4 linked regions of the Caenorhabditis elegans genome follow. The protein of the gene in region 1 interacts with the protein of each later gene in a pairwise test. Each region holds a gene or a part of one and is shown on either strand. Other genes may lie near its edges.

Region 1 (3,242 bases):
GGTATTACAAAGTCAAGAGATTTAGCTAGACTTTTCTCACTCGTACAACAAGGAAAACTGTTCTCTACTGAACTTCTAGAAAAGTTCCGTGCCCCCCAAGTTCAGGGGATTGATGAAGTTGTCATGACTCCTCTACCAAAAGGACATGGTTTCCTATACGAGAGACATCCAATGGGAGGGGTGAGCATCGTTTTAATAAATATAATAATAAATCAATTATTTTTTCAGAAAAAGTGGCTTGTTGGACATCCTGGTTACGGTGGCAGCACAGTAATGATGGATTTGGAAGATGGGATCACGATTGCCTACGTCTCGAATGGATTGAAAACTGGAATGGGAGAGCTTACGAGAACATACAGACATCTTCGAGATTCTGTATTTGAGTGCTTGGAGAAACAGAAGACTGGTCAAAGTGTGATGATCGAGGAAGCAGTTCAAGCAGTTGCCGCATAACTTAAAAAATTGTTGTTATCCTTGTTTGTACATAGCGCCATAATTTGGGACGGGTCTACTGCCCCCAGCGAATTGTGCATAAACATGTTTCTGGTTTGTCTGAATTTGTATTGAGAAAAATGGGTAATACCGGGAAACCGAAAAATAATGAACAGAAAAAGTTAAAAAAAAACATCCGGGTGCAAAAAGTTCTTCTTGAAGTCGGTGAGTCGGTTTGAAGTACAATAAAATGACTCGCCGAGCGCAAGAAGTTTACCAGGGCAGAAAGAAGAGAGCTGATAATAAATTAAAAATGTGAATAAATACACGAGAATGATTCAATCGTCCATGTCGTCCTCGTCAAGCTTGGCAATAGCCCATTCCTCGGCAGCAGTGACAACCTCGCTTGGAACTTCTTCGTACTTTCCGTTCGTCTGCTCACCGACCCATCCCATTTCGATTTGAACGTTTTTATCCTTGTTCTCGTCACGCACCACCATAATGATTCGAGCAGCTTCCTTCACGAGTTGATTCACATCCAGCTCCTCGATCTTCAGCTTCTCAATCTCAGCTTTTGCGGCTTGGCGATGTTTTCCGACAGCCCATGCCTTGTATTCATAGTTTAGACCTGATGGCTCCACAAGGAAAAGACGTCCTCCAGTTTGTTTGTTCCATGACATGAAGAAGGCTCCTGCTCCAAACGGACGACTAATGCCGAGAGTGTGAATGTGAATGTACTCAGCAACTGAGTTAGCAATATTCTGAATCGGCATTGGCTCACGGTAGTCTTTGAGCCACTTCATTGCTTCTCCGTAAGCATAGTTCTTCAGAGCGAAACCATCTGGATAGTTTCCAGCAACTGCGACACCAACATTGTCGTTCACGTTAAACATTCTTGGATTAGCGTTCTGAAAATTATAGATAAAATCTTGAAAATCTCTTAAATTACTCACATCAGTGTAAAGTTTGGAAGAGATCAGCTTGTCAGCAACGACCACAACTCCGTTCTTGCCACGAATTGCAATCATTGTTCCTGCATTGTCGACAGCCTTTTGAGCGTACTCGACTGAAAACGAGATTATGAGTATTTTGAACAAAGCAAAATCGAAACAAACCTTGGAAAATTCTGCCATCAGGAGAAAAAGTAGAGGCGGCGAGATCGTAGCCGGTACCGATTGAACTCATTCTGCAAAATAAAAACTATGTTAACACATATATGATTGCAACTGGTACGTGTTTTATTTCTGCGGAAATCAGAAGAACCGTTAAAATTTAATATTTAATAATTCGTTTATTTGAATGCGTTAAAAATAGTAGAATTATTGCGAAAATAAAAGCTGATAATCTGAAAATGGCAGCTAAATGGAAATAAAATTTCAAATGATGATTTTCCAATGTCGATTTACGGGAGAGACGAACATTGCGGCAGGTCTCGCAACGACGAAGAAGAGAGTGTGTAAATTGAGAGACGTCAGAAGACAACATGCGCCTTTAACATTTTCTTTTCATTTTTCTTTACTTTTTCGTAACTTTTTGTTACTATTTTGAAGCTGTGCAATTTGTTTCCAAAGTAAAAATCGCTTAAACCTCACATAAAATTGTCTTGTGTTTATTACTCCTTTTAATATGCGTGTCTTTCAGAGAAATCTCGCGGGTAAAAATGGTGAAACTCGACGACAAAAATAAAAAATTCAAAGGGAAGAAGAAGGTTAAAAATGTGTTGGAGAAAAAGGCAAAAGGATTAAAACTCAACAAAGTAGACAGAAAGCGAATTGTTAAGGTTTGTTAAATTACTTCATTTTGTAAATAATTTTTTGTGAAATATTTCAGATTGAAGAAAAAGCAGCGTTAAAAAGCAAAGTAGACAAAGCTGTGAAGGACGAGTTGGAAAGGTTGAAAAAGTCATCTTCAACATCAGTTTTTGATAATGATGGGACTCGTGACTCTTTGTGCTCGGAGTCTTCGTTCGGAAGCCAGCCAGCACCGAAAAAGAAATCGAAAAAAGTGCTTTTCTCAGGAGAACTTGAACATGTTAAGGTTTTCGATAAGCGAGTTCAGGATCTTCAAATCAAACCATCAGAGGCATCTCCAGGAAGAGGAATTCTCAGATCCCCTCTTGATAAGAAGGTTAAGGTTTGTTAATTCAATATATCGTCTTTTACACAATTGTTTTTTTTCAGAAACTTGCCAAAGTGAAGACTGTCAAAGTTGCTCAGGAAGAAGAAGAAGAGCATTCCGCTCCCCCAAAGAAAAAAGTGAAGGTTAATGCAGAGAAAGCCGTTGCTTCTGAGCCAGCAGACGATGAAAATTTGGAATCTGTCGACGAACAAGCAGGTGGAGATGAATCTCATATTGACATTCCAACTCTAAAGAGAAAGAGAGTAGCTATTCAAGTCACAAAGTCTGTTAAAGAACAATTGCTGAATATGCCGAGAAAAGAAAGAAAAGCATTTTTGAAGGAGTTGAAATTGAAGAGAAAACCTGAAGGAGCTCGTGCTCAAAAATGCAAGGAACTTTGGGAAAAGATCAGAATGGGAAAGACGCCAAAAGCTGAAAAGGATACTGCGGTTCACGAGTTGTATGGTCTTGTAAAAGGACACGCTGCCAAGCTGATCTATGCTCACGACACCAGCAGAGTTATCGAATGTCTTGTTGCCACTGAAAGAGAAGGAATCATTAACAACTGTAAGTTTTTTGAAGGTTCCCATGAATAATTACGAGAACATAATTATTGCAGTGTTCAACGAATTAACCCCAGAAATAGTGAGGATGTCAAAGAACGTCTATTCCAAATTTTTCGTCAAGAAAAT
Region 2 (5,026 bases), on another chromosome or scaffold:
TTAGAAGTGATTCTTTTAAAATAAATTATTTTTCAGGTCCAAGAACGCCAGCTCCGTGTGTGTACAACAGTCGCCATTGCCATTGTTTCGGAAACTTGTGCCCCATTTACAGTACTTCCAGCAATTATGAACGAGTATCGTGTACCTGAAATTAATGTACAAAACGGAGTTTTAAAAGCTCTTTCATTCATGTTCGAATACATTGGAGAAATGGCAAAAGACTACATTTATGCAGTTGTTCCGCTGCTCATTGATGCATTAATGGAAAGAGATCAAGTTCATCGTCAGATTGCAGTCGACGCAGTTGCTCATCTTGCTATTGGAGTTTATGGATTTGGTTGTGAAGATGCACTTATTCATTTATTGAATTATGTGTGGCCCAATATGTTGGAAAACTCACCGCATCTTATTCAACGATGGGTGTTTGCATGTGAAGGAATGCGAGTTTCGTTGGGACCTATTAAGGTTTTTATTTTAAATTCTTAATAATTTCAAAAATTAAAATTCATTTCAGGTTCTTCAATATTGCCTGCAAGCTCTTTGGCATCCAGCGAGAAAAGTTCGAGAACCAGTGTGGAAGGTAATTATTTTAGTTTCCTTGAATTTTCAATTACAGAAATAGTGGAAATATTCGGAATATAGCTTTTAAAATATTTATAGAATGTTTCTAATTTTTTAATGATTTTTTTCAATTGAATTTTTATTTTTCAGAGAAAATTTATTTTTATTGTGAAATATCTTCTTTTTTTTCGACCAAAAGTGAGCGACCGGAAAAATTGAAAAAGGAAAAAATTAAATACAGGTTGCGCGGGAATTCAAAAATGTTTTGGTACTTCTCAAATTTTCCGCAAAATTTAAAAAAAGATTAGAAAATTTCTATAAATTTTTTAAAATTTGTATTCGGAATATTGAGACGTTTTTTCCACAAGCGCTAAATTTTTATGTAATTTCATATTAATATTTCCAGGTCTTCAACAACCTAATTCTTGGCTCCGCAGATGCTCTTATTGCCGCCTATCCACGTATCGAGAACACCCCAACAAATCAATATGTCCGCTACGAACTTGATTATAATCTTTAAATAATTTTCTAATTTTTGTTTTTTTTATTTGGATCTCGATAACTTATTTTTCTATCTCCGTGTTCCCTCCCTCCTTTCATCACATTTTCATAGAAAACGAAACCTTTTATATTTTAATCCCATTTCCCTCCAAATATTCTCTTGAATCTAGATTAATCTAACAAAATTGTTTTGGTTGTCAGTGGTTTTTTTTTGTTTTTCTATTACTTTTCTCCAATATCAATCAATTTATTCCCAAAAAAAAAAACAACAACAACTCTTGCGATAGATATTTAAAATGAAGACTTGTCAAATTATTTTAATGTTTTAAAGAAATCCCTTTTTTTTTGTTGAAGTCAAATTTCGCTTATTTTTTCTCGTTTAAAAATTTTTTAAATACCTTAAAAAATATCAGAGTTTCCTAATACTCTCCAAATATAAAAATAATTTTCTAATTTTATTTTTGGCAAAATTATCTTTAAAAAAGAAATTTTACAAATTCTTTCAATATTAGTTCCTTAAAAACGAAAATTTTGCGCTTTTTGCAGCAACAGTACAGTGGCTGGTCTCGAAACGACAAATGTGTATTAAATGCAAAAATGGTGTGCGCCTTTAAGGATTACTGTAGTTTAAGAATCTCTTTGTTACGGAATTTTCATCGATTTTTCATAATCTTCTTTCAATTTTTATTTTTCTAATCGAAAAACTTTTGTTTGCACAGAATTTTCATCGATTTTATCTCAAAAATATATTTACTCATACAAATATTAAAATACTTAAAATTTGAACAAAATCTATGAAAATTATGCAGCTACGATATTTTTGTTAAACACATTTTTGCATTGAACTAAAATTGTCGCGTCGAGACCGGTTACCGTATTTTTTGTACAAATGTTCGCGTCTTTGTAATAATTAAATTCTCTGAAAATTAGTTTTTCTCAAAAAATCGATTTTTTTCAGTCATCCCTTCCAAGTGAGCAAAAGAATTTCGAAAATCTTCGTTCAAAAGCGCAGGTGCTGCTTTGGTCCGTGAAGGCGGTGTGGATCCACGGGGATGGCGTTCGAAATAGCTGGACCCAGCAGCAGCAATAACTCAAGTCAACGGAGAGCAACCACTGAACCACCGCCTGAAAATGAGCTACAACTTGGACTTCACGAGGCACAGAAGATGACATGGAATGCTAAAGTCGTGTATCACACGATCGACAAATGTCCGCATTGTGATCCGGTTCGTAATGGATAGGGCACAGAATTATTCATTAAAATACTGAAAAATTAAAATTAAAGTAAAGTTAAAATACTCAAATTACCTCAATAGACCGGTTTTGATGGATTAAAAATTCGAAAATAAACTTCGATGAACTAAATTCTCCAATTTCTCAACTTCCGTGTAATTTCTCAACTTCCGTGTTGATGAATTAATTTTTATTTAATTATTTACTTTTGCACGTTTTTTTCTCTCTTTTGCATTTTCTGATGATTGGAACGATAATCTGGACAATTTTCACTGAAAATACGCAAAATAAAAAAGTTATTAAATAAAAATTAATTTGCGACATGGAAATGTTGGTAAAATTCGAAGATTTTAAGCAATGTCCAATTTTTAGATGATTTTCATGAATTTTCCAAAAAAAAAACAGCTGAAATTATATTTGAATTTCCGCACAATTGTATGTCCAGAAAATGCAGAAATTTCGAAATTAGGCAATTCATTTGCTTGGGAAATCAAGTTTAATTCAGCCGGTTTTTTAAAAAATTGTTTCGGAAAAATCTCTACTCCTCCCTTTAGCATTCTTTTTTCATTTTTAGGCATTTTTATGATGCTTCATTTTGAAATTCAGTCTTTTTGTAATTTTGATTTATTTTATTTTAGTTTTTCCAATAATTTTGATCAGTTGCCGGCTGTTAGTTGTCGCAAAATTGGTTTTCTGGTTATTGACAATAATAAAGTATTTTTCAGAGCAAAAAAACCGGAGATAATCGAAAATAAAATTGTAGAAATTTTATCGAAAATATGGCCAGTTTTAATCTATTATTCAAAAAAATCGAATTCTTTTGATTTTCCAAAAATAATTCATATTTTTCAGAGCAAAAAACCATCATGCCTGAAGGAAGATGAACATATGGCAGTACTCGTTCATGATAAAACACTTGCATTTATGAAACCATGCTATATTACAGTATCAAAAACAGATGAAACTGGTGATCATGAATTATCATTTCGAATTGAAACAACAATTCTCTCCGAAGCAAAAAAGACGAATAGTGCTGCAAGTATTCATCGGAGCGGACCGTCGAGTAATCGAAATTCGAGAGTTTATGATGAGGCCGCCCGTCAGGCAGTGCTCGCCGAGTTGGATAAAGATGAAGATGTTGTTGAGAAGAAGAAATCGTCGGTTATGATTGGAAAACCTGAAGATGTGGTAATAATGTTATGAATATAGTTTGAAAATAATTTCATTTTTTCAGACCTGTACATTGTCCCTAGCAAAAGGAGCCCCAGGGCTTATCACGAATCGGATAGATTTTCTGAAACAAAATGATATTGTGAAGTGCACTTTGGAGACAGTTGATACGGTATGAGTTTTTTGAAAAATTAATTTTTGCGATTTTATAGTTTTTTCCTGATAAATTTCAATTTTTTTTTTGAAAAATGAATAGATTTTTTTTAAAACTAAAAAATCAATGAAAATTCTACATCAACGATAGTTTGAAACTACAGTACTCTTTAAAGGCACACACTTTTTTATTTAAGAAAAAAATCGCGTCGAGACCGGGTACCGCATTTTTGGAGCAAAATTTCGCAACAAAAATTAATGTTTCAGGTATCCCTTGACAATGTGCAATTAACATTCCGAGAGCAATATATGAGCCGAGCCGATATGTATCGTTACCGTAGTTGCCTGATCGGACGAATGACATATGTAGAAGAACCGAAACGATATATGAATATAAATACTCGTATTTCGGATATGTGGAGAAAAGGATCATTAGTCAGAAGTGGATATGTTACAGATAAGACACGTGTTGTATTCCGTTCAAGTTCAAGTACAGTACTCATATTTATTCAAATGTGCTCTGAAATGAATCAACTCGATCCGCAAGGAGATTTGTATTTGGAAAAATGTATTAAAGGATTTTTAACGGAATTATTCTTGAAATGGAAAGAACAATCATGTACACATTATGTATCAATTATTCTGTGCTCACGGTGGTATGCGGTGAGTATTAAAATATAAGTTTTTTCTTCAAAAACTGCTCAAAAAGTCTGAAAATTAGAATTTTTGGCTGGAAATTATTTTTATCAGTTTTGTTGCATATTACGGTTTTTTTCGCACCTTTTCAAAATTTTCACGCAACATTGCTCAAAATTTAATACAAGTTTTTGCATTTTTCGACTTTAATTTCCTGAAAATCAAAGGAAAAATGCAACATAAACTACCAAAAATCGATTTTTCCATTTTAAAACTGGGAAATAAAACGCTTTTAAATAAAATTGTGTACTTGTTGATGATTTTTTTCTAAAAAAAAAGAAAATGGCCAAAATGTTTAGATATTTTTCAAAAATCGGAAAAATTCGAAGATCATGGAGTTTGAAATGTATCGAGCTCCAAAGGTGTATTTTCGGATCCTTCAGCTATAGAAGATCAGATTTAACATGCGGATGATCAAAAATCGGACTCCATAGGTTGAATGTGATCTACCAATTCTTCGGCATTAGCTGGAAGATCAGATTCCACTTATGGAGTCTGAAGAATCTGATCTTCCAGCTAGGGATCTTCCTATCTTCCTTAACTATAAGATCAGAAGCCAAATATTGATTTTGCAAGATTTTCAGTTGTTTAAAAATCAATAAAATAAAGTCTGAAGAATCTGAGATCAAAAATAGACTCCATAGGTGGAACCTATTCTTCCATAGATCATTTCTGATCCTTCAGCTATAGAAGATCGGGTTTTATATATGGG
Region 3 (6,406 bases), about 10 Mb from region 1:
AAAAAAAGATTTTCTGGAATGTTTTTGTGTGAATTGAAACTCTCGAATGACGCAAATAGCCGATCTAATTATATTATTAACGAGCCAGACATTTTGTGTTTGAATGGGGTAGTGGCATTTCCGAGTATAAATCTCATTCCAGAATATATCAGCTCAAACCTTTTCTTTTTCCAGCTCAACTCTAACTGCTTCTTGTTCCTCCTGGGATATGCTCACTGATTTCAGGTCCTCCAGTTCTGTATACTTGATGGATCCGATACGAGCGATTGCAGATTTTATACTGGTGCTCGCCATTGCTCTGAAACGAAAATTTAATTGAAAAGCTTCATTTTCTATTTTCTTTGAAAAAAATCGAACAATTTTCGACCTTTTGTGGGTTTTATTCAGGATAAATTGAGAATCTTTACACGAAAAGTGCCTTTGTGCCAAATAAAATTGAATTTTTTTTTTGAAAGTCTGGAGAATCGAAAAATTACTATAATATTTCGCGATTTTTTTTACGAGGCTCGTCATTATTTGGGTCTACAAATATTATTTATCGAGAAATCTACTCCATGTCAAGAACCAGCCAAAAATAATTTATGATTCGGATCTTCTTTTTTTACACGGAAACATTGAAAACGGGATAATGGTTAAAAGATGCAAACGGGAAAGGTCCAATAAATACGAAAAAATCAATTAGACAGGTTTATAGTCGAGCTTCGTCTCAAGTCTCTTCGCGTCTCCAACCTTGCGAACAGCTTTCATAAAGTCCTCGTCGATAACGAATTCACGCTCAGCACGGATGGCAAACATTCCTGAAACAAAAATGATAATTTGAATGCAATTTTTATGATTCAACTCCTCACCAGCTTCTGTGCACACATTTCTTAAATCAGCAGCCGAGAATCCGTCGGACAACTTGACAACAGCTTCAAAATCTATTTCGCCGTGTTTGGTGATCTTGTTCGAGTGAATCTTGAGAATTTCCAAGCGAGATTGTTCGTTTGGCAGTCCGATTTCAATCTTTCTATCAAGTCTTCCAGGACGAAGAAGAGCAGGATCCAATGTATCAGGACGATTCGTGGCCATAATAACCTTGACTTTTCCAAGCGAATCGAATCCATCGAGCTGATTGAGAAGTTCCATAAGAGTTCTCTGAATTTCACGATCTGCTGATGTTCCTTCTGAGAAACGTCTTCCACCGATCGCATCAATTTCATCCATGAAGACAATGCATGGCTGATGGTCACGAGCATAATTGAACATTTCTCGAATCATTCTTGCAGACTCTCCGATATATTTATCAACAATAGCAGACGAGACAACTTTCAGGAAATTGCAATCCAGTTGCGATGCTACAGCACGAGCAAGGAGAGTTTTTCCTGTTCCCGGTGGACCAAAAAGCAGACATCCTTTCGGGGGAGTGATACCAACACGTTTAAAGAGTTCGGGATTGATGAGTGGGAGCTCCACAACTTCACGAAGCTCGCGAATCTGCTCAGCGAGTCCTCCGACATCTGAATAGCTAATGTTACCAGGATCTTCGTGAGACATTTTGTAGACTAGCGGATCAACTTCACGTGGCAGCTGACGCCTGAAACATTTCGGTTTAAGACTTTTTGTTTAAAAAACTAAAAGCTTACATGATAGTAAGAGTTGTCATATCCAACGAAACTCTTGTCCCTTGCTTCAACTCTTCCTTGTTAATACTGCGACGGCATCCGACAACATAACGAGGACCATTGGTTGCCTTGACGATGAATTTCTCTTCACTGAGCTGCTTGAGCACTTCTCCTACAATTTGTCCAACAGATTGCAACGACTTGATATCGTTCTCGGATTTGTCAAATTGTTTGGTCATCTCGCTTTCTTTTTTTCGCAAGTCCTTCAACTTCTGTTCAATGTCACGGCACTCTGCCAATTTTCTTCTATAGCTGTTGAGCGCCTTAGTGCGTTCATCCTCTACGATGGCGGGACCAGTTGGTTCAACCATGTTCTGGAATTCAGAAAATATCTAGTTTTGAATGAAAACATTTTTTAATCTGTATAAGATGTAAAAATCTGAAAAAACGAGGTTCTCATGAGGAAAGAACGTCAGAAATGAAAATCAGAATTGAAATTGTCATCGTGTCCAACAGAGCGCAGTTGATCGAGTCCGCAATCTTCCGCCTCGGTGTACGTGCACACAATGCACAATATTTCACGACAGAAGAATAGTGTTGTTTTAATTTATTTTTTTCTAATTAGTTTAAAGTTAATTTTTCTTGCATCTGCCGTGATGTCGCAATTCCCAGAAGTTTTAGACAATAATGTAAGTAATACAATTTAAAATTTTCGACTTCCCAGCAAATGTTTCATTTATTTCAGCTTTTACACGCCGAAAACAACGAAACTGCCGAATACATACAAAATGATGGGACAAATCAATCAGAAGTGTTCATGGAACATCCCTACACGGTGAATAAAATCAACTCGTTTTAAAAACTTATTTATTTTATTTCATTTTAGCCGAACATGCATCCAATAAATATGCCTTCTATTGTAGAAGGTGCGGTTCATCCTTATAATAATTTAATCCATCACAATGATGCGATACCACCGGCAAAGTACGCCTCGATGAGACAAATGACAGAAGATTTCTGGCGTGAAAAAAAACAGAAAATGACTGAGATTTCTGAAGAGGATATGCTGAACAAGTCGAAAAACATGAGCGTTCCCATGGCTAGAGTGAAAAAGATTATGCGAATAGACGACGATGTTCGCAACTTTGTGAGTAGTGTCATTTTCCAGCCGATCTTCATACACTTTTTACAGATGATCGCGTCTGATGCTCCGATATTTATGGCTCAAGCAGCCGAGTTTTTCATTGAAGAAATGACCGCAATGGGCTGGCAATACGTGTCAGAAGCAAGGCGACGAATTCTTCAAAAAGCCGACATAGCAAGCGCAGTGCAAAAAAGTGATCAGTTCGATTTTCTCATCGACTTTCTACCTCCGAAAACGGTGCCAACAACTTCCACAAACGGCCCAGGCCATATGAGTGAAGACAGTTTCCAAGGTTTTCGGTTTTTTTCCTAAATATGATTTTTGTGCAATTTTTAACCTTTTATAGATCCCAACATGCATTCCGACTTTCACCAGAGAACTTCAAATTCTTCAGTCAACCGATCTCACCACAATTGATCTTTATAATAATATTTTCTTGCTTATATTATGTATTAAAATTAAGTTCGTGGCGCCTGGCGCCCTTTAAAAGCTTGAATTTATACCTTTTTTGTCTAAAAATACTGTGTTTCATATGCACATTCATATATTTTCTTATTTCTTTGTTTTTCATTTTACAGGCTTTTACTTTGAAATCTTTAAATTTGAGGCGAAATGTGGTTGTCAAGTGAGGAGCTGAGTGCGAAGAAGACGGCTTGCCACGTGAGAAATGTGGAATCCAACAAAGAATTTGCAGATTCTGATATCGTTGCCTCATTCGTGCACAATCGGCCAAAAGATTTGAAAAACGTTTGTTCTAAAGCACCTTCTTTCAAATGAAAATAAAAATCCATTTTAGCTGACATTCGAAAGACACGGAAAAGGAGGACGTAAAAAAGCGCCAATATTCAGCGTAAAAGGAGATATTAGCGAGCATGTTGTAGAAGTTGGGGCAGATGTTAATTGTCTTGATGAGGGATTCGATTTTGCTGTTGCTTTGGTTGATAAGGTAATTTTGAGTGTATTTTAGCTAACAAATTCACTCTTTCAAAGGCTGAGTACCGAAACCTGAAAAATATTTTGGTACTAGTTCTAAATCACCCCGCCACTTTTTTTCTTTTTTTTCAAATAAAAACGTGTGGAGTTTTTGTATTTTTAGGCTTAGGAAATAGCCATTTCTAAGCCTAAAGATGGAAAATGGACATCACGTTTTATTAAAATGAATAATATTAAAATGAGGGGAAATAATACACAAATAAAAAAAGTGGCGGGGTGATTTAGGACTAGTACCAATATTTTTTAATGACTCCAAATTTTCCCCTGATTCCGAAAATCTATCAAAAAAAAATTTCACTGACTTTGGATTTCAGCTTGAAATCCCCGAATTTCATTTGTGAACCCTTGAGATTTTTCAAACGCTCCAAAAATTTTTTTTTAATCAATGAAAAACGGAAATCAGCATCCGATATAGATTAAAAATTTCGTAAATCGACACATGGCGTCTCTGAGGCGAAAAAAGTTATTCATGGGTGGTGCACAAATGAAATTCGCCATTTCAAGCTTATATAAAAAATATAGAATATAGAAAATCTTTGAATTTTTTTCACACAGATTTTCGGGTTCAAGGTAAAATTTGGAGTCATTTAATAATATTTCTCAGATTTCTGTACTCCACCTTTGTGTACTCTTGAAGGAATATCGAATTATGTATTTGAATAAGAATATTTTTTAAAAAAACTTACAGAGAACTGGAGAAGCAACATATCGTCCTGCACGATTCTATTCATTCGAAAGCAAGTTCTCAGAAGACATTGAGAAGATTTTCAGTGACAAGAAGGAATCGTCGTCTGAAGAATACAAAAACGATTTTTCAATTGGAGCAGAGAAATGGGCTGAGAAACGTCGTCAATTGACATCGAATTTTGGTTCTTCGAAGAAAATTAAAATGGATGAAGCAGCTCAACGAAGAACTATTAATCAAGAAACATTGGACGAAATGAGAAAGACCGCGTTCGCTTCGAATTCGAACGTTAAAACTGAGGATGGTGCTGCTGACGTGAAGTTGGAGAATATCACAATGATGAATAAAGCCGAATCATCAATTCTTCCACCTGCTGTTCAAACGGAACTTTCACGAGATATCTATCCAATTTCCTTGTTCCTTGAAGACATTGAGATTGACGCAATTGAATCGATCGCCACTGAACTGATGGAAAAGAAGAAAAAAGAGAAACTTGAAGCTGGAATTCCAGAGTGTGTTACTCTTATTATGTACAATGAAAAGACCAAACAACGTGCAGCCGCCTATCTTTTACTCTCCACCATGATCGAGATCCTCACAAAAATGGGAAAGCAAAGACAGTTGCTGAGAAAAGATTTGAGTGAGCTAAAGATGCCCGATATTCTCCGACAGAAAGTTCAGGCCCAGTTTTTCAATGATAGTACTAATGAGAAGGGGTACACTGGACGTGGAGCCGAACGAATCCGTCTCAATGTTACCGACTATGATCGTTTTATCGCGCACACACTTGCATTGGCATTGACATTGGCACCCGAGCACAAAGTACCGATTACTCCATTTCAACAAGCTCTTAGTTATCAGCCTAGTAAACTTGAGAAGGTAAATCCCACTTGAAAATTTTGCTTTGAATTGTTTAAAATAGTCTAAAATCCAGAAAAAATGAACCCAATTTTGTGCATGAAACGTGATAGAAAGATTCGCGTACTTTTACTTTTACAAGATTCGCGTACGCATAATTTTGAAATTATTTATTTTATTTTTTTCTCTAAACATTCTCTAAAATTAAGCACATTTTCAAAGAACTCCAACAAGAGTTTTATTCACCAAAATGCCCCATTTTCAGATGTTCCAAGCACTAGGTGCAGACCTGATTCGTCTCGATGTGGCGTCTGCTCAAACTCTTCGTTCCCTCCGTGCCGCGATTCTCTTGAAACCTCCGAGTCTGGAACAGAAAGGGCCCAGAAAGATCATTCGGCGATAAATATTTTACTTATTTTTTCTTAAATCTTTTCGTTTTCCTCAAATTTGTTTTGTTTTGTTTTCTAAAATCGTTAAACTTGTTTTGTTATGAATTTCCGTTATAATCTTTATTTTTTTCTATCTTGATTTTTGGAGGGATTCGGATTCAAACACCAATCAGATTTCTAATAATTTGTATTTCAAATTTAATTTGATTACCTTTGTTACAGGCATATGTTTTCTAACGAAGACCCAGGACAGGAAGGAGCAGAAAATGATGATGTATTCATTGGTATGCATAGTTTAATAAAAATAATTGAAATTTCTAAATGTAGATCTAAAATATAATTTCTAGAATCAAGATTTTTACTTTTTTGAGAAAAATATTGAATTAAACAAATAAAAATCGAATTTCGAAATTTTAAAAAATCACAAGAAAGTCTTATTGTTTGGCACGGGTTCCGAAGAAAAATTAAAAATTATTTGATTTTGCCTATTTTTTCGTTTTTTCTCGGTGTTTTTCAAGAGAGAATATCAAATTTAAAAAAAAACTATATTTTCAATTAGGTATTTAATTTTCGACCTTTAACCGTAATTTCCTCTAATTACCAGGATATTTCAAACATCTTGATTTCAGAAATGCTGGATGAATTTTCAAATGATGTACCTGGTAGTTTTTTTGAACGTGAGCCCACAAAGGATACAACGACCGCTCGAACAATGCACTTTTTGTTGAAAAGC
Region 4 (3,691 bases), 3.0 Mb from region 1:
CTCCGGTGCCGGAGACTCGCGGAAAAGTATTTCATTCAGTCGTTTTGCAGCTTCGATCAGTTCATGCTGATTCTTTTCGCGGGCGGTGATACGAAGATAGGTTGTGACGATTCCATTCTGAAGAAAATTAATACTGTTGGTTACTAGCTAAATCGGCTTGCCTTTTCTGGAGCATCGACGAAAGACATTTCCACATTTTGAATGGGGTTCTGTCTGACATGTGCCTGAAGTTCGTGAAGTGGCATCTTCATTTTTGACAGTGCCATAAAAACTGTAAAATGACAGTTTCTCTGTAAAATACGAACATTATTCATATAATCAGAGTTGAACGTACTCTCATCAACATTCGTGCTCTATCCACGTCACCAAAGTATCCAGTGATGGTTACTTGCTGTGCAAATGGATCAGGTGTAGTTCCTCCGACAGAACGATCGGGAAGTTGAATGAGGGTGTTAGTTTCTGCCATGATTGACGCGACATTCTCGTGATCCCCGTTGTCACTGAAATGAATACAATTTCTTTCGCTTAACTGGTGAACTAACCTGGTCATTAGTGAATAGTATTGGGATTCAAACTCCATATTGAGGGTTACTCTAGTTGGGTTAATCTCGATCTAAATGTTGAATCAGTTAATCAGTGGAATGTGAAGCAGTCAAACCATTGGTATATTTGACGGCAGAGGCAATCCTTGCGCTTTTAGCTGATGAATATGAGCCTCTCGTTTCGTGTTGTATGACACCTGTCGTCTCTGATTAGCATCCTCCGCCATCTGAATTGTTTGACTGTAACATAACAAGTTGTTGCCTTTACCTGTGCAGATTGCTGGAAATCATGATAGAAGTTTTCAGGATTCACGATAATATCTTTGAGGGCAGACGATACAAATAGTTTTCTAAAATCGGAGTATTAGAATGTTGTAAGCGTAAACCATATTTAATACCTTGCAGATGCCGCATTTTCTGCCATTTGGAGGCGTGTGTCAGCATCGTATTCAACGGCAGAGCGAACGAATGGATTGTAGGAGTGCGCTTCATCATGATCTTTTTCATGGCTTTGCTCCCCCATCTGCAAAATTGAAATCTTGTTTCTAACACTAAAGCGTTTGCTCAGTAAATTTTTTGAGTTTCAAATATTTTATAAATGATCGTCAGTGCCTCCGTCGATGTTACTGGTATTAGTATCATCGTGGAACGATTAATTACAGATAATATTAGCATTATAAGGATGAAATTGCACGAAAACAAATGAGAAAACACACTGAAAATCACGCTGAACGTGTGTTCGAGGAATTGGGCGCCAAACAATCTCCTTGAAGAACGTTGTAAGACCTGCTCGATTTCGGTAATGCGCCTTTCTGAAAACTTTCTTGGTTACTGTACTTTTTAAATTTGATTAGCTGCCTAATATTAGGGGCGGCTTCATTTAACAGACTGAACATTTGAATTACATTTTAATAAATTGTTATACTATTTTGTTATATCTGTGTTGCTTTCTACTTTTTCAAAATTAACTTCCCCTTTTTTAGAAACACCCATTGGCTTTGCATCATTTTTTATTTTGCGAGCTACTGTAAACAAGTCCGCAAACACCGCACACAGAGAATTACGTCTTAGTCGACGCGCAAACCGCTTTAACTTATTTTCGCTTTTTCCGTTTTTAATACAACTTTTGTTAGTTTCCAGGCTTTGAATATGGATGAAGAGGGTTCTCGTTCGTCTATCACTGATGAAGAAGATTATGTAGACGATAATGATAATGGCGAAGACTATGAAGGTATGCTTATATATATATTTTTTCAAATTTCTTCAACGTATGGTTTTCCAGCGACAATTGAAGAGGAGGAGCTTCTAGATGAAGGGGACTACGAAGATGAATTGAAAGGTGAATTTCTTTAATTTGCTTCTGACTCATTTTTCTTTTCAGACTTGGAAGATGAGGGAGAAATGTCAATTGAAGAACTTCAACGTAAGTATGGCTATCGTCCAGCGGAAAATTCATCTGCAAACAATGAAGATACGGAAATCGCCGAAGAAGTAATTTACAAATGATAAAGTGAAATTATAAAATGTTTATATTTTTCAGAATGTAGGGGAATCAAGTTCGGCTGCTGCAGAACCGCACGACTCAACAATTTTCGATATGGGTAATTCAATGAGTGGCTTCGACGACGATGATGACGACTATGCACCACCGCCAGACCCATGGAAAAGAAGTATTCGTGTGGATCCAGTACTTTTCCAAGCCGACGTCCCGCTTTTTAATGAAGCAACGGTTGAAGGTAAGCAATGATCTGATTTTTGATTCTATATCGATTTATTTCTTCAGAATCTGCTCGAGAAGATGACACTATTTTATGGACAATTGATCAGACGAATCAGCCAAGTGATGAAGTTATTGACAACTATCTCAAAGATGTAGTAGGCTTACGAAAAGCCCACGACCAACCATGTCCACCAGCTGGCACCGAATCACGAGACGACGAGGACGCTCTATGTGCTTTGTATAGAAGCAACTTTGACACAGAAAAGGCGAAAGAATCATTCCCTTTTCCTCATATAAATGCCCCATTCCGCACTGTTCGCTCAGATGCATTGGGATTCGATGAGAGTGAAGCAAAGGCATTTGAAGAGTCACTCGAGCTGTATGGAAAAGATTTTTCGCTGATAAGGAGACTACGGGTTAGTTGTATATTTTGCAAATTCAAAAAGTTTTCATAATGTTTTATTTTAGCTACCCTACCGGAAAGTTGGAGAACTTATCGAATACTACTATCAATGGAAATTAACCCCTGGGTGAGAGAACGACGATTTCAAATTTTAATAATTTATTTCAGCTATCGAGTTTGGCGGGACGCTCATCCACAGCATGCGCCAGTAGTTCAGCCTCATTTATCTGCTGCATGGCATCAGCAAGTAGCTCAACTGGAAGATCAAAATGGTCAAACTGGATTTGTTGAAGCCTCCTTCTCCGAGCCATCTACTTCAGAGGAGCCATCAACTCTTACGAACTAAAACTAGGGAACTATTTTTTTACTTTTTCACCTAAGCATTTATTATTTTCGATCTCTGTTTAACAAATAATCTCGCCCCTGATACCCATTTACGTAATCACAACAATCAAATTCCTTCGTTGTCAAATTAATCTGAATCAAATATTCACTTTCATAAAATTTCATTGTTAAAATTAGAGTTTATCAACATTGATGACGACCCGTACACTGTCGGACTTCGGTCTCCGTATCATCACACTCGATTTCCTCCCAGTCATCATTTCTAGCACGTACAACACGTCTTCTTCTGGTCTGTGATCCTTCACCACATGTAAGTGAAAAACTGGGAGCCCCGTAAAAATATGGTGGAAATATGGAGCAAAAAGCATACCAATCGGAAGATAATGTTACTGTCTACTGAAAACCAACATTTAATTCTGCCATCTCGGTCTCAGTATCTGAAAATTTGCATCTGAAATTTTGGTGTTAAATCCCGTAGATTTTGCACTTATCGACCCCGTTTTCAGAGAGAGAGAGAGAGAGTAAATTATAGCTACGTTCGCACTTTTGTCTTACCGCATAAAATCCAATGCGCGTGCTCCAACCAACCGCAGTTGGCCCATGATCCAAGGGTACACCGAATTGGGGGTACATTTGTTCTTAGGGTACATTCGACATCATCACAATCATTCTTAGGCTACA

Evidence for each region.
Region 2: the proteins of pas-7 (region 1) and depd-5 interact in a two-hybrid assay, tested with the Caenorhabditis elegans proteins (2 studies listed by BioGRID).
Region 3: the proteins of pas-7 (region 1) and rpt-4 interact in a two-hybrid assay, tested with the Caenorhabditis elegans proteins (2 studies listed by BioGRID).
Region 4: the proteins of pas-7 (region 1) and T07F8.4 interact in a two-hybrid assay, tested with the Caenorhabditis elegans proteins (2 studies listed by BioGRID).

The regions. Positions count from the first base shown.
Region 1 is NC_003280.10:10,098,237-10,101,478, forward strand, and holds pas-7 (Proteasome subunit alpha type-3), read right to left. Parts: upstream 1,619-3,242; 5' UTR 1,618-1,618; coding exon 1,548-1,617; intron 1,499-1,547; coding exon 1,386-1,498; intron 1,341-1,385; coding exon 771-1,340; 3' UTR 546-770; downstream 1-545. Other genes in the region: lact-2 (Beta-lactamase domain-containing protein 2), read left to right, coding at 1-180, 229-453; puf-12 (Pumilio domain-containing protein 12), read left to right, coding at 2,093-2,212, 2,263-2,565, 2,613-3,117, 3,170-3,242.
Region 2 is NC_003281.10:4,260,137-4,265,162, reverse strand, and holds the start of depd-5 (DEP domain-containing protein), read left to right. Parts: upstream 1-2,018; 5' UTR 2,019-2,114; coding exon 2,115-2,288; intron 2,289-3,147; coding exon 3,148-3,483; intron 3,484-3,529; coding exon 3,530-3,637; intron 3,638-3,885; coding exon 3,886-4,281; intron 4,282-5,026. Other genes in the region: sftb-1 (Splicing factor 3B subunit 1 domain-containing protein), read left to right, coding at 37-465, 515-580, 968-1,081.
Region 3 is NC_003280.10:41,685-48,090, forward strand, and holds rpt-4 (putative 26S proteasome regulatory subunit 10B), read right to left. Parts: upstream 4,449-6,406; coding exon 4,428-4,448; intron 3,695-4,427; coding exon of another isoform or gene 3,545-3,694; intron 3,496-3,544; coding exon of another isoform or gene 3,361-3,495; exon of another isoform or gene 3,356-3,360; intron 3,234-3,355; exon of another isoform or gene 3,166-3,233; coding exon of another isoform or gene 3,095-3,165; intron 3,041-3,094; coding exon of another isoform or gene 2,797-3,040; intron 2,752-2,796; coding exon of another isoform or gene 2,491-2,751; intron 2,440-2,490; coding exon of another isoform or gene 2,350-2,439; intron 2,294-2,349; coding exon of another isoform or gene 2,261-2,293; exon of another isoform or gene 2,223-2,260; intron 1,979-2,222; coding exon 1,626-1,978; intron 1,577-1,625; coding exon 849-1,576; intron 798-848; coding exon 679-797; 3' UTR 523-678; downstream 1-522. Other genes in the region: F23F1.10 (Reverse transcriptase domain-containing protein), read right to left, coding at 160-294; Nuclear transcription factor Y subunit nfyc-1, read left to right, coding at 2,261-2,293, 2,350-2,439, 2,491-2,751, 2,797-3,040, 3,095-3,165; rpoa-49 (RNA polymerase I associated factor, A49-like protein), read left to right, coding at 3,361-3,495, 3,545-3,694, 4,430-5,305, 5,550-5,687; C23H3.5 (Nucleolus and neural progenitor protein-like N-terminal domain-containing protein), read left to right, coding at 5,900-5,957, 6,303-6,406. UniProt on the Caenorhabditis elegans protein: The 26S proteasome is involved in the ATP-dependent degradation of ubiquitinated proteins. The regulatory (or ATPase) complex confers ATP dependency and substrate specificity to the 26S complex.
Region 4 is NC_003280.10:7,130,017-7,133,707, reverse strand, and holds T07F8.4 (ELM2 domain-containing protein), read left to right. Parts: upstream 1-1,675; 5' UTR 1,676-1,691; coding exon 1,692-1,773; intron 1,774-1,824; coding exon 1,825-1,881; intron 1,882-1,923; coding exon 1,924-2,033; intron 2,034-2,082; coding exon 2,083-2,278; intron 2,279-2,325; coding exon 2,326-2,678; intron 2,679-2,730; coding exon 2,731-2,792; intron 2,793-2,833; coding exon 2,834-3,011; 3' UTR 3,012-3,179; downstream 3,180-3,691. Other genes in the region: gld-3 (Defective in germ line development protein 3), read right to left, coding at 1-117, 162-290, 335-500, 543-613, 659-769, 811-892, 941-1,065.